Linked DNA regions of Rhinolophus ferrumequinum. The protein of the gene in region 1 interacts with the protein of each later gene in a biochemical or structural test. Links are inferred from orthologs where the notes say so. Each region holds a gene or a part of one and is shown on either strand. Other genes may lie near its edges.

Region 1 (7,352 bases):
ATCCATTAAAATGGAATATTTGGCCATCAAAAGGAATGAAGTACTGCTACACACTACAACATGGATGAATCTCAAAAACAGTATGCTAAGTAGAAGAAGCCAGTCACAAGACACCACATTCCATTTTTATAACTTGTCCAAAATACCTACATCTATAGAGACAGGCAGTAGATTAGTGGTAGCCTAGGGCTGGGGGTAGGGAGGAACGAGGCGTGACCAGGTTTCTTCTGGGGATGATGAAATGTTCTAAAGTTAGATTATAGCAATGGTTACACCACTCTGCGAATATTCTTAAAGAAATGGAATTGTCTACTTTAAACAGGTGAACTTGATGGCATGTAAATTATATCTAAATAAAGCTGTTTATTCTACGGGAGGCAGGAACTGGGCAGACGGAAGACAAGGCGGGAAGGCTTTCTGTTATATCACGTTTTGCATTTTCTGGTCTTCCAACATGTAACTACTATCTATTCAACAAGCAAATTTTAAAAATAAGAGGATCAAACAAAATGAAAAAGAAACCCGACCCCTCCCCTCATCTGGGGGGAGGAGAAGGAGAAAGCTGCCACCCACCCCACCCAACTGGGAAGCGATGGGCGGATAAACAGTGGGTTAGATCGGACAAGGGAAGCCTTAGAGAGCTTTCAAAACCTGTTCATCATCGGGAAGCAACCAAGCCACTGGGCCTAAAGAGGACATCTGTACCAACTGGCCAGATTGCAGACACCCCACTGACCAGTGGATACTGTCCCTGCTCTCCCTTCTTCCACCACCACCTGGACCTATATAAAATCTCAGAACCATCATCCAGCCTCAACGAGGGGCAGGAACACCCCCAAATTGACACCTGCCAGGCAGAACAGAAGCTTAAGAAAGAAGCTCCATTAACATATGGGGAAGAACTCCTCTGTGGGCCCGGCTCATACCCTAGGCTCTCCTGCACGCTGAGACCAGACAGCAGCCAGGAGAGACGATTCTTGGAGCCTCTGGCCTGTATTTCCTCACGTACTTGACCCCTTAATAGGTGCTATATCAAGAAAGACCTCTGTGGTCAAATTAATTTGAAAATCATTGGGTTAAAGGTCAAAGCACTATAACTGCAACCCTTCTGAGACCCTTTGCTTGTGACTCTTCAAATGGGGCTCCGGCAGGTTCAAAACGCTTTTATGTTTTTGAGGAACATCTGGTGTGACAGAGGCCCTTCTTCATTTTACAGCTGAGGAAACAGAGCCCAGAGAGGTAAAGGGGATCACCCCAGGTCACGCAGCAAGTCTGTGAACAGCGGGAGCTAGAACTCCTGACTCCCAGCCAGGGCTGATTCTACTGCACCAGATCACAGCTTCCTGACTCAGTCCCGGGCAATCTCGCGAAACCGCCTGGTCCAACTCTCAGAAATTTTATATATTTGAGCCCTTAGTTTGGGGACATGTCTGGGTTTATGTGGTCGCTGGAAATACGAGGGAAGCAGAGAAAAGATACACTCCCTGTCTAAGGTGCAGGGGGCAAAGCGGCAGGGAGCAGCATGCAGATCCAGGCCATGCCACTCATGACCATGACACATCCTCAAATCCAGCCTTGGGTCCCCTCTGCACGGTGACAGACTTGAATCTGCTCATCTGCTTTAGCAACCTATGGGCTGAACAAACCTTTAAAACCTGCCCTGATAAAAATTCTTCAAGATAAATGATCCAGTTTCTTCAAGAAATAAAGAGCAAGGAAACAAACAGTGAGACAGAATGGTAATTGTTATAGATTAAAACATATAACAAAATGTATAATGTGGGCTGTCTTTGGATCCTAATTTGAACAAATCAATTGGAAAGACATTGATAAGACAATTGAGGCAGTCTGACCACTGGCTATATGGTGACACTAAGGAATTATTCTTTTCAGAAGTGGTCATGGTATGATGGATGGTTAGTTTTTTTGGTTTTGTTTTTTAAAGAGTTTTTGTTTTTAAGAGATAAATCTGAAGTATCTACAAATCAAACAACGTGGTGTTTGGAATTTGCTTTGAAATGATCCAGTAGGGACGAAGGGGGTAAATGAGGGACATGGATATTAGAAGGCTGGCCATATATCGATAATTGTTGAAGCTGGTTGATGTATGCAGGACGGTGTGTTAGACTCTCCTCTCTACCTTTGCTTAAGTGTCAACTTCAAAAGAAAATATTTTTAAAATGTCCTGATCAATTTGGCTCTGGGTTCTGGGACCAGTTTGGAGTGGGGTGGGGGTCACGGAGGGAATTCCGGTCTGTGTGGCTCACCTTCCTGCCTCACCACTCCTTTCCTGGAATGCAAGGCGCAGACCCCCTGTGGGGACAGGGCCCCAAACAGCAGTTTCCAGGCTCTCGGCCTCACATAGAAAGGTAGTAAATGGCCATCGACTGTGATCAAATGGCCATCAGCTGTGGCTAGTTGGCCGTCAGCTGTAACCAGTGAGCCATTAGCCATGAATATAACTGCCCTGGCTAGGCTAGCAAAAAGGGGGGAGCTAGCGAGAAGATGGTGGCTGAGCCTGCAAGCGGCGCAGTGAGGGTTGAGAATTGTGTGGCTCCTGTTTCCTGTTTCTCCAACCCAGCCGCCAGCGAGAATACAGTGGTATGACTCCCCTACCTATGGCTCCGTGGGTGTTCCTTTTTGGCCTCACCATGTCCTGCGCTCTTATGTGGGGAGCGGGACCAGAGACCCCACCGGACGCCCTGCACGACACTTGGCTTAGTCGGCAGGATCCCCTGCACGACACCCCCAAAGGCCCAGACTCCAGGTTCTGCACATGCGGGGACGTGGGGAGGCCCCTGGACCTCCTGAGGTTGCTCACCTCCTGTGGGCGCCACGCCCACCAAGCCCCACTGAACCCACACCCGGTCCCCCAGGCCAAGCCCTCCTCGCGCCCACTCGCCTGCCTCCGCAGTTACTCACATGGCTCCTCCTGGCCTGCCCCGCTCCAGCCACCTTGCCTGCTCCGGCCCAGGCCACTCATTACTCAGGATGTTATTATTAGGCTTAGATTTGATTAGTGCCTAGCCTGCACTTCCTGGGTTTTCCCCACAACCTGTAAAATGTAAATCAGCAGAACCTACTCCCACCCCCACGCCTGCGCAGTCTGTCTCATGGGCTGAGGTGGGTGGACTTGACGCTCCAGGACTTGGGTCTGGTGCTGTCTGCTGAACCCGCACTGCACTCACGGTGCCCACAGGGCGCAACGAACAGGGGAAGAGCTGGCCTGGCCTTGGGATGGGGTCTAAACTCTAATTTGGCCCAGATCTGGCCTTGGCCCATCATTTGGGCCCGGTCTCCTGCTCCAGTGTACAGACCCCAGGCTGCAGCCAGGGTGAACCAGTTCTCCAGCCTCCAAGCGTTGCTGAGGCATCTTCCCTCTTCCTGGACAACTTTTTCATATTTTATTGCCTGATACTCTCCTGTTCCTTCTTCAGGCTCAGTTTCATATTTTATTGCCTGATACTCTCCTGTTTCTTCTTCAGGTGCCAACTCCTCCAGGAAGACATCCCTGACCACTCCAGGCCAGGTTAGGAGCCCATTCTGTGCTTCCTAAGGCCTGTTCTTACCCCTATCAAAGAACTCAAGAGGCTGACACTAGAGCCAGACAGCCTGGGTTTGAATCTTGGCTCTGCTACTTACAGCCTTGGTGGCAATATACTTAACTTCTCTGTGCCTCCATTTTCTCTTCTGTAAAATGGGTATAATAACGGTACCTGTCTCACAGGTTGTTATGAGAATGAAATTAGTTAACAGTTAAATTCTTAGAGCAAGTTCTTGGCACATAGTAAGTTCTCAATAAATGACATTAGCACTGTAAGGTTTATTACACTGTTGTAACTTTATTTCTATTTTCCCAACTCCTCTGAAACCTCTGCAGGGATAGGAAGCCCAGTAGCTTAAGGCTAAAGTGAGATGAATTTAGAAGTCATAGACAGCCTGTGGAGTTTAGGAAGTAAACTTTGAGGAATGGGAAGACGGATTCAGGCAGGTGGAGAAAAAGAGGGAAGGCTTTGGGACAGGTGAGAGGACAGGAGGGAGGAAAGCTGAAGGCTGATTTGGATGACAGTGAGCCCAGGAGGAAAGGAAACACAAATGGTTGATAAACCTGAAAATCACTCATCAATACTCAGAAAAATACAAGTTAAACAATGAAAAACTAATTTTCATCCAGCAGGTTGGCAAAGTCTTACAATTTGATAATGTTAAGTGCCAGAGGTAGTCTAGGGAAATGTGGACTCACACCCTGCTGGGGGGAGGAGTTGGTACCGCCATTTTGGAGGGCAATTTGCCAGGGTCACTTAAAATGTGGAACATATCCCTAACCCACGACCCAGAAATTCTTCTCCATACGCCACAGACGCACATGAATGTTCACCGAAGCACAGTTAACAATACCGAGCAACCCGAACAACGTAAATGCCGGTCCAGTGGAGGATGGCTGAATGAGCAAGGTACAGAGATCATACCCCGGAGTCCTATGCAACAGGTAAAAAGAATGAGATCTATCAGATTGTTGAGATGGGAAAGATTGTCAAGACAGATCGTTGAGTGGAAAAAACTAGTTTACAGCATGATACTTACAGTTAAGAGGCCTTTTAGTAAAACAAACACACAAAGGACACACACAAAGCTGCTCTGTATAGTCTGTGATCACTCACCACGTTCCCCCGAAAATAAAACCGGGTCTTATATTAATTTTTGCTCCATTAGGGCTTATTTTCAGGGATGTCTTATTTTTTCATGTAAAACAATCTACATTTATTCAAATACAGTCATGTCATCTTCTTCTGGAACATTGTCACAACGTACTAAATGCGTCCGTCTGGCTGATGATCTTAACTGGGGCTTATTTTGGGGGACACACGGTACCTGTGCATGTGGTACAGAGGTCTGAAAGGATACGTATGACGACAGCGACTGCCTCCAGGTCGGGCAAAAGGGGCCCAGGCTTAGGGTTGACGGTAGAGAGGACCTTAGCCCTATTTGTAATGTTTTAATGTTTCACACGGAGAAGATAGTCAGGTATTACTTGTGTCAATGAAAAGTAATGAAACCACAGCTGGGCTGGTGAAGTAGATTTGGGAGCCAGAGGCAATCCTAGATTCTGTTGCCTGTTAAGGCAAGCCCAGAGTCACTGTTGAATCTCTCCTTACCTTCTGTTTGCATACCCCTTTTAGGACCACCATCCAAAGCAGCTGGCTTCTTGAGGTTTAGCTCTGACTGTTAGAAAGCTCATCTCCATCTTTTGAGCAGACTGTGCTGTCCTTAAACGGACCCACTGGACTGAACGCTGCTCTGTGAAGCCACATGCATTATCTTGGCCAATAAGGTAGCCCTTTGGCGTCTGAAGCCAGTGTAGGTTGGGTGTGAAATGGAAAACAAACTCCAACCTGACTTTTGGGGTGGCTGAGAATTGAATGGTAGGGTTCCCTAACATCTCTTTGCTGACCATTGCTTGTTAATGCTTTTACTCAAACACCATTTACAAATAATAGATTTTACTTGCTTTCTGTTTTCTTTAATTAAAGGTGTCATTTACCTGCAGGGAAATGCACGTATTTTAAGTGAGCAGGCCACTTAATGTTTACATATGTGCCTACCCAGGCAACACTATTCAGATCTAGGCTTAGAACATGTGCATCCCTCATCCTTTCCTCCAGGCAGGACATCCCACCACAGATTAGCCACTATTCTGACTTCTGTCACCATAGATTCCTTTTGCCTGTTTCTGAACATTGTATAAATGGGAACACACAAATGGGATCATCCACTTTCTTCTGGCTTCTTTTGATTGACATTAGGTTTTATTAAACCAGACAGAACAAAGCTGTGGAGCACTTCAGGGGAAAGCTGTTTAGTCTTTGTGGGCCTCATTTTCTCCTGGCCAAATGGATGAACAGGAAACTCAAACAAGAAAGCACAGGTGAAAGCACTGTGACCCCGTTCCCGCGCTGCACGGTTGCAAGCAGAACAGGTGCTGGAGTTTCTGAACCTCATTGAAACAGCACTTTCTGAGCTGTCTCCAGAGGAATACAGGATTTTCATTTTAAGTTCCGCAGTCAAAGTGACAGAATTGTTTTGGAACCCAGAGTAAAGATACCTTGTAGACCTCAAGGTTTTTGAACTGGTTCATTTACATATGTATGCTTAAGCAGTTACAATGAGCACATGCTAAAGACAAATTCCAACAGCGTGAAAGGGAATACAGAGAAAAGTACTTTTCTCTCCCATCTGGATACCCTAGGCCACTGTTTCCGTACTCAGACAGCTGATCCTGTGCACACAGCCCTGCAGCAAAGCCCAGCATCTGTGTGTCATTAAATGAAAGATACTGCTTCATCCTCCCCCCTTTTTTGGTTATTCTTTTTACACAATTGCTGGCTTATATAGATTAAACACACTGTTGACATGCTGCTTTTTTCACTTAAAAAGCCTATCAATGAATCCTTCTCTCTCTCTTTTTTTTAATTTTTACAAGAGTTTATTTGAATCAAATTGACAACACATGCTGGGGAGCAAGATAGCAAATGTTCCCTAGTCCTTCTCTTTTTAAATGAGCTCTTTAAATGCTCATTAGGAATAATAACAGCAAGCACTTACGAGTGTTCCACGTACTGTTCTAAACACTCCACACACATCATTTAACATATATTCTGTCTTCATGTCTCGTCAGATGGCTTAAGACCCTTAAGTGGAATTACTAGGTCAAAAGGAACAGTGTTGTTGTGGGCACAGAGCCAGGAGTGCAGTTTCCTGGCTCTCGGCCTCACGTGGAAAGGTGCTCGCTCAAGTAGTAAATGGCCATCAACTATGATTGGATGGCCATCAGCTGTGGCTAGTTGGCCGTCAGCTGTAACCAGGGAGCCGTTGGCCACTAATATAACTGCTGTGGCTTCACTAGCAGAAAATGGGGGCTAGCAAGAAGATGGTGGCTGAGCCTGCAAGGGGTGCAGTGAGGGTTGTGAACAGTGTGGCTCCTGCTTCCTGTGTCTCCAACCCAGCCGCCAGCGAGAATATAGTGGTATGACTCCCCTACCTATGGCTCCGTGGGTGTTCCTGTTTGGCCTCACTATGTCCTGCGTTCTTATGTGGGGAGCAGGAGCAGAGACCCCGCCGGACGCCCCGCGCAACAGTTGTCTTGATCAATATTTTCCAATGAGACTGTTCCAGTCTACGCAATGCATCTGTGACATTTTGGCCCCAAGGCTCCTGCCCACGCTAGGTGTTGTGGTCTCTTCTGAGGCAGGGAGCGCTTGATTCCTTCATGGACTGTCTGCCACCCTACTCTGTCCCCCTTGAGGTCATGCCATTGAACCTTCTCTGAGAGTATAAGATGTAAGACAAAACCA
Region 2 (7,914 bases), about 9.5 Mb from region 1:
GGAAAAAAGGGCCCCACAAGCAAAGCCCTGAGGCTCTTGGATATCTAGAAGAGAAGGAAAACCCAGCAGAGACTGAGAAGTAGCCAAAGAGAGGGAAAGAAACCCAGGGAGGGCAGTGTTATACAACCTAAGAGCAGACACAATTTCAAGAAGGAGGATGTGGCTGTCTGTGTTGAATGCAGCTGAGAAGTCGCATGAGAAGAGAACAGAGAAATGACTGCCGGGTTTGGCAATGTTCAATGTCAACTGGTGACCTTGACAGGAGTGGTTTCAGTGGTATAATTAGGTTGGAAACCAGCATGAATTGGGTTAAGAGAAAACGTGAAATAGGAATTGGAGATAGTGACAACCCTTTCCAGATGTTTCTCTGTGACAGGAGTAGAGAAATTGGCCAGTAGGTGGAGGAGGATGTGGATCAAGGAAAAATTCAGTCTTTTTAGTGATAAGAAATACTACGTGAATCTTAGCTACCATTTACTGATCTCATCTAATCCTCCCAACAGTCCTAAAAGGAAGATATTCTGATCATTTTCCAGTTGGAAGTTACTTAACTTGTCTGAGGTCATGAGAATACTAAGTGGTAGAGCCACTGGGATTTGAACCCAGCTAGAGTGTGCTTGTGTACTGGACAAGGTCCCTGGGAGAGGCGATTGCTGATGCAGGGGTGGGGAAAGTCTGTAGGGCAATGTATGAGAAGGTGGGAGGGGATGGATTCAAGAATGAAGAGAGAGACGCGTCATCCCATCATCACAAGAGGGGCATTGGAGAAAGTGAGAGCAGGTTGGTTTGTAGTTTTGGTGCAGAGAGGTGAGGGAGCTGTCGCCTGCTGACTTTTAGGTGCTTTGGAGAACTAGGGAGACAGGAGGCAGTAAGTTTGAGGAGAGATGGTACAAAATCCTTATCTTGGTGAGTGGCTTAGTGAGGGAAAGTAGGAGGATTGCCAGGAAGTAAGGGATGTCCATTTGAGGTTTGTGGTTGTGAAACAGAGTGACACCGCGGTCCCAGGCATAACATGCCCTTTGGCCACAACCAGCCTTTGTTCAAGCTGGTTCCATATCTAGGAACACCCACTCTCATTCTCTCCCCCTACTCTTCATGACCCAAACCAGACTTCCTCCTCTTTTTGTGGACCACTTATTTCAGCAGTTACCCAGACATTCATTCATTCTTTGACTCAACGCACATGCACTGAAAACCTACTGTTTGGAAGGACCCAGGTAGGTGCCCACAATGAATAACACCCAGACCTACTCTCAAGGAATTACTGTCTAGAAGGGACAAGCATATAAATTACGGTATGCTATGACAAGAACAACATTGAAAGTAGCCAGAGGTACATGGTGGCATAGAGGAAGATAAGAAATTTTCCATGGAGTCAGGGATTCCCTCCCCAAGAAGATGTGGCTTCCCTGGGCCTTGAAGCATGAATGTAAGATGGACAAGGGGTCAAGGACTTTCCAGGTGGAGGAACCACTTGTGCAAAATCCCTGAGTTTGCCAAGAGTATGATGAGGCTTGGGGACCGTGAGAAGCTCCATGTAGCTGAAGGAGAAAATGCTAGAGGGGTAGGACGGGGCATGAGGTTGGAGAAGAATGTGGGAGCCAGATCACAACTGACTGAAATCTGGGAGTTATTCTGAAGTCACAGTGAGGAGAGGCAGGCTCACATCTGCATTTTAGAAATATCGTTCTGGAACCTCTCGTGCATGTAAGGTCTCTGACACTCTCATGTATGCGGGGTTCCATACATCTGCATATACTAAATTTGGTTATTTTTCTCTTTAAAAAAATGAAAAGAAGAAGCATCATTCTGTGGCTCTGCTTAGGGAATAAACTGGAGCAGCAAGATTGGAAAAAGGGAGTCCAATAAGAAAGGAGGCTGAGAAGTGAGAAGTGGCAGGAGCCAGCCTGGGAGGGAGATGGGCCAGAGCCATTTAGATGGCAGAATTCCTAGGAACAGTTAATGGGTGAAAAAAGTTGGTGAAGGAGAGGGAGGCTTAGGTACTCTGTGGGAGTAGAACTGTAAGCCGAATGTGGAATACAGACAGTAAGGGAAGTTTGGGGTGGGGCACCAAGCTCAGTTTTGGTCAAGATGAGTTTGAGGTTCCCAGGGCTATTCAAATGGCAGCAGTTGATAGGGTGAGGTGTGGTGGGGTTGAGTCTGCAGGGAAAGGCCGGGATAACCCACAGGTGGAAATGAAAATGCCCAGAGAGCTGTACATTTTCCTTGAGAAAGTAACAAGGATGGGACCCTGGGGCTGGCGGAGGATGAAGGATGGGGAAGGCAGCTGCTGAGGCTGCTGAGACACAGCCCGTGAGGTCCAGGAGAGTGGCCTGTGGACCCAAACAGAGAGCTGTTGGCCACGTTCGCCGACTTCCCTCTATTTTTCCCCCAGTGTTTGCTGGGTGCCCTCTCAGAGCAGGCCCAGCTCCAGGTGCCAGGATACAGTGGTGAATAGGACCGTTGTCCCTGTCCTATTAGCGGAGTCAGACCCCAAACCATCACGTACACAAATAAACCAGATGATTTCCCATGTTGGTGACTACTATGAAAGAAACAGGGTGACATGGTGAGGAGTTATGAAGGCAGGGCTGGGACTGGCTATTTTAAACTGGGTGGCCAGGGAAGGCCTCACATGAGTTGAGACCTGACTGACAGAATGCGCCAGGCAGAGCAGCGCATTCTGGGAAGGGGGGAGAACAGTACAAAGCCCTGCAGGGACAAGGAGCTTGCTTGATGGCAGAAATAGAAAGAAGGCCAGAGTGGGTGGAGTGTTGTGAGTTAGAGGGGTGTGTGAGATTAGGTTGGAGAGGTAGACAGGGTGGCTGTGGAGAAACTGGGAAGCCACTTAAGGTCCTGTTCTGTCATTTTATTATTTATCTTCTTTGCAATTTGCTATTACCCTAGCTCTAGATTTTTTTTGTGTGTGTAACGGTTTTATTGAGATAAAGCTGGGCTCACATACCGTACAATTCACCCACTGAAGTTATATAGTTAAATGGTTTTCAGTATATTCACAGTTGTGCAACCATCACTACAGTAATTTTTGAACATTTTCATCCCCTCAGAAAGAAGCCCCATACCCTTTAGCCATCATCCGCTATTTCTCTGATTTCCATCCCCCCCACACCAGCTCGAAGCAACCACTAATCTATTTTCTGTCTCTCTGATACTCTGTGGTCCTTTGTGACTGGCTTCTTTCACTTTGCATAATGTTTTCAAGGTTCATAGCATTTCTTTTGAAGGCTGAATAATATCCCATTATATGGAAAATGACAATTTTCCATATCATCAGTTGATGGACATGTGGGTACCATTTTATTGTTTTTAATTTTAATAATCTAAGTAATGTATGATTCAAGTAATGTATGTATACATTCTCAAATTAAAAGAGGCAAACACTATCAACACAAAATATAAAAACCCCCACGCTTCTCCTTCAGTCCTACTTTTCTCCCCAGAAGAGTCTAGTCACAGCTTGCTCTGTGTGATTCTCGTCGTATAAGTCGGATTTTTTCACATAACTTCTCATTACACTATGGGCTCCACAGGCTATGGCTCCTTCCTCGTCCTGGGTTATCTATTTATCTTCTGGGTAAGGTGGGCCCTAAAGGTTTATAAACTCATTTGGTGGCAGGGAGTGTGTGAGTCCTGTGAAGGGACTTTCCCCTATCTCTGAACATCCACATTCAGGTGTGGACGGGACGGTGAGTGGCTGGGAAGAGGCCAAAATCAACAGCTCCAACCCACTGCGCTATGACCGCCAGAGCGGGGGATTTATAGTCACTCGGGCTGGGCTCTACTACCTGTACTGTCAGGTAAGCCCCACCTGGCTGCATGGGTAAAGCAAGAACTGAAGGAGAAGGGTTTGGTTTAGAGGGTGGGGGCAAGCTAAAGGTGGGGAGGGGGAGCTTGGGGATTTAGCTGGGGAGGATATCTGGCTCTAAGGAAATTTGAAACTGGGGGCAAGCAGAGGCCTGGACTGTGCCACCTTCCTCCCCCCCACCCCCAGGTGCACTTTGACGAGGGGAAGGCTGTCTACCTGAAGTTGGACTTGCTGGTTGATGACACGCTGGCCCTGCGCTGCCTAGAAGAATTCTCTGCCACTGCAGCAAGTTCCCTCGGGCCCCAGCTCCGTCTCTGCCAGGTGTCTGGCCTGTTGCCCCTGCGGCCAGGGTCCTCCCTACGGATCCGCACCCTCCCCTGGGCCCATCTCAAGGCTGCCCCCTTTCTCACCTACTTTGGACTCTTCCAAGTTCACTGAGGGGCCCTGGTCTCACGGTGGTTTACCCAGGCTGCTGGCTCCCCACAACAACTCTCTGAGCACCCCAGCCCCCTCTGCCCCACCCTAAGCTGCTGCTCCCTTCAGACCTGCCTCTCCCTGGGTAGACTGCCAGGGCTTGTTCACGTGTTTTCCTTGCCACATAAATATTCCCATTCGTCTCCGACAACTCCCCCCACCTCTGGTTCTCCACCTCGCTAGCTTCTGAACCCCTGATCTTTGATGCCCCTATGTATCTCCTGACTCCCCACTCTGGCCACAGCCCCCTGAGACACTGTTTACTGTACTCTGGGTGAGGATGGGTCCCCAGTACCCCTCTTCAGGCACTAAGAGGGCTGGATGCCAAAGAGACTGGGAATAGGCCAGGAGTTCCCTAATGTGAGGGCTAAGAGACCAAGACAAGTTCCTCCCTGATAATATCCTGTGGATTTTTAAAAGATATTATTTTTATTATTATTGTGACAAAATGTTGATAAGTGGATATTAAAGAGAATAAGTCATGGTCGCTCTCTTTATTGGGGCTTAGGGGACCTCCTCAGGGTAGCTGAGGGCCCTGGGAAGGGGGTCTTGGGCCTTGGGGAGCGGGGTGTAAAACACCTGGAATTCCAGGGCTGTGTGCAGGTTTGGGAGTGGGGACCCACATGCCTCCAACCCCTGAGAGTGGAAAGGCAAACTGCCAGGAAAAAAGATTAATCCTCTGCCCAAGGTCCAGCAGAAGCAGCCTCATTTACCTAGGAGGCGGGCTTCCTCCCGCGGGGAATCCCTAGCTGGGAGATACAGGGCCCTTCCTCTTGGCAGTCTCAGGACATTCAGCAGGTGCTGGCACTAGCCCTGGCGGGGATGTGGGGTGGGAGCAGGCCTAGAGAGGGCTTCAGGGTCAGTAAGCAGGACAGTGGGACCCAGGAACATGGAAACCTGTGCCCCAGGATCCAGGGCAGGAATCCTACAGTGGTAGGGTGCTTGGGGCTGTCTCTTTCTCTCTTCGTCCAGAGCCTTATGTAAGAGCTTTTCTCTGGAAACAGGAAGTCCTGCTTGCCAAGTTCAGCATAGGGAGTAGTGCAGGCCTTATTCCAACACACCCGGCCTGGCCTTAACCCCAGAACTCAGCCAGTTTCTTTCTTCCGCGACCCTAGTTCTCCCCACTGGCCCCCTTCCGTCCTTTCCCACCTTCAGTCACTCCTAGTAAACTTCCCTAGAGATCTCTCCCTGGCCTGAGCCCAGAGGATCTTCCACCCTCACCCCTTGACCCTCGATGCTGCCCAGCTTGTCCCTCCATCCCTGCTCCTGGCACCATGCCCCATAACCAGCCAACCTTCCCTCCCCCACTTCTGGGGCCGCCCCAGGGTTCCTGTGCTCTGGCCGCTCCTCCTGGGTGTCACTGGCAGCCCCGTGCTTCCTAGAGAGACTGACACCAAATTCTCCTGAGGCTGGAGGAGGGTTCGGGGTCTCAAGACAACATTGGCCCCACAGCGGGGTGCCAGGAGCACCAACAGTGCCCCTAGCTTGCTTTCTTCCTCCCTCCTTTTTATTCTCAAGTTCCTTTTTATTTCTCCCTTGCGTAACGCCCTTCCTCCCTTCTGCACCACTGCCTGCACTCCCACCCTCCCTGCCACCTCCTTGCCATCCACTCTTGAGACCATAGCTGTTGGCAGGGTCCCCAGCTCATGCCAGCCTCATCTCCTTCCTTGCTAGCCCCCAAAGCGCCCCCAGGAGACATGAGGGGCCAGGTCCGAGAACCGGCACTCTCAGTTGCCCTCTGGTTGAGTTGGGGGGCAGCTCTGGGGGCTGTGGCCTGTGCCATGGCTCTGCTGACCCAACAAACAGAGCTGCAAACCCTAAGGAGAGAGGTGACCCGGCTGCAGAGGACTGGAGGGCCCTCTGAGAAGGGGGAAGGATATCCATGGCTGAGCTTCCGGGAGCAGGTGAGTGAGGGGAGAAGGGTGTCTGGGGTAGAAGGATGGGTGGCAGGGTTGTCTCTGGGCCTCTTGGTTCCAGACTCCTAGTCTGCAAAGTTTCAAGTGGGTGCAAGAGAGGTCCCGGGTTTGGAGGTCAAGGGAGTAGCCATTCCAGGAAAGAAATTGTTAAAGATTAATGCTTCTTGTACCTACCAGATCCTGGAATACAGCCAGCACCAAGACTCAGGTTGCTGGGGAAAGGTGCATGAGAGATGTGGGGCGTGCCCGGGATGGTGGAAGGGCTGAAAAGAAAGGCTGTCTGGGACTTTTGCATCTTAGCCTAACCCTGACCTTCTTTCCATGAACAGAGCCCTGACAGCCTGGAAGGCTGGGAGAATGGGGAGAGACCCCGGAGAAGGAGAGCCACGCTCACCCGTAAACCGAAGAGTGAGGCCTCCAGGGTGCAGCAGGGGTGGGAGTGATCAAGCAGCCTGGGGATTTGGAGATTGTTACCCCAAGACAGGGTAAGGGTGGAGGGCTGACAACAGGGCAACTGGGGTAGGTGGACACTGCTGAGATTTCCTCCTTCTCTCCTCAGAGAAGCACTCAGTTCTGCATCTTGTTCCCATTAACATTACCTCCAAGGGTGAGCACGATTTTAAATCATGGCTTTTGGGGAGGGACAAGATCTGGGAACTTCCGGGGCTGGCACCTGGGCCCAAGAGAATCTGAAAGGTGAGAAGTACCTGAGAATGCATAGAAATCCTGATTGCCACACTCCTCACCTCCAGAGGACTCTGATGTGACAGAGGTGTTGTGGGAACCAGCTCTTAAGCGTGGGAGAGGCCTGGAGGCCCAAGGATATGTTGTTCGAGTCTGGGATACTGGAGTTTATCTGCTGTACAGCCAGGTAACCCCAAACAAACATCGAACCTCATGTAGGGGCCTGGAGGCCTTTTCTCCCAGAGTCTTATGCCCCAATACTGAGGTTTCCCCACCCTCTGGTCATACCAAACTTAGAAGACCCTTCTTCATTCCTTGGCTCCTTTGTCAGGGCTCCTGAGGCCTCCCAGAACTGAGCAACACTGCCCTGTTTTCTTCAACATCTCCTCCCTTCCCTGCCAGGTTCTGTTTCATGATGTGACTTTCACCATGGGTCAAGTGGTGTCTCGGGAGGGCCAGGGAAGGCAGGAGACTCTATTCCGATGTATACGAAGTATGCCCTCCAACCCAGACTGGGCTTACAATAGCTGCTACAGTGCAGGTAAGAGCCTGTGGGTGGTAGGGGGTGGATGTGAGAACAGCAGGACATCCCTGACCTAGGAGTAGTAGCGACAAGGGGAGAGCTGTAACAGGGGGTTGGAAGCCTAGGTGTAGAGGTGGATCTGAGGAACGAAAGACAACACCTAGGTCCTTACAGGAAGCAGTAAAAAGGTTGAGCTGGAAAAGGGAGGGTGAAACATCAGAGTATGTTCCTGGCTGTGCTTCACTGAGCATCCGTTTTTCTCCCTTTTCTCAGGTGTCTTCCATTTACACCAAGGGGATATTCTTAGTGTCATAATCCCGCGAGCAAGGGCGAAACTTAGCCTCTCTCCCCATGGAACCTTCCTGGGTTTTGTGAAACTGTGATTTTGTTGTAAAAGGTGGTTCTGGGCTTGGAAGACCAGGGTTGGTACATACTGGAGACAGCCAAGAGTTGACTAGACAAAGCACGGAATGAGCAGGAACACAGGCCTC

What was found.
Region 2: the proteins of TNFRSF13B (region 1) and TNFSF13 form a complex in vitro, tested with the Homo sapiens proteins (2 studies listed by BioGRID and IntAct). The link is inferred for Rhinolophus ferrumequinum from reciprocal best matches to the Homo sapiens genes TNFRSF13B and TNFSF13.

Annotation. Positions count from the first base shown.
Region 1 is NC_046304.1:1,781,813-1,789,164, reverse strand, and holds the start of TNFRSF13B (tumor necrosis factor receptor superfamily member 13B), read right to left. Parts: upstream 3,011-7,352; 5' UTR 2,984-3,010; coding exon 2,923-2,983; intron 1-2,922. UniProt on the Homo sapiens protein: Receptor for TNFSF13/APRIL and TNFSF13B/TALL1/BAFF/BLYS that binds both ligands with similar high affinity. Mediates calcineurin-dependent activation of NF-AT, as well as activation of NF-kappa-B and AP-1.
Region 2 is NC_046304.1:11,314,958-11,322,871, reverse strand, and holds the start of TNFSF13 (tumor necrosis factor ligand superfamily member 13), read left to right. Parts: upstream 1-4,909; 5' UTR 4,910-5,946; coding exon 5,947-6,204; intron 6,205-6,545; coding exon 6,546-6,624; intron 6,625-6,775; coding exon 6,776-6,823; intron 6,824-6,968; coding exon 6,969-7,087; intron 7,088-7,302; coding exon 7,303-7,441; intron 7,442-7,696; coding exon 7,697-7,806; 3' UTR 7,807-7,914. Other genes in the region: TNFSF12 (tumor necrosis factor ligand superfamily member 12), read left to right, coding at 3,694-3,818, 4,013-4,264. UniProt on the Homo sapiens protein: Cytokine that binds to TNFRSF13B/TACI and to TNFRSF17/BCMA. Plays a role in the regulation of tumor cell growth. May be involved in monocyte/macrophage-mediated immunological processes.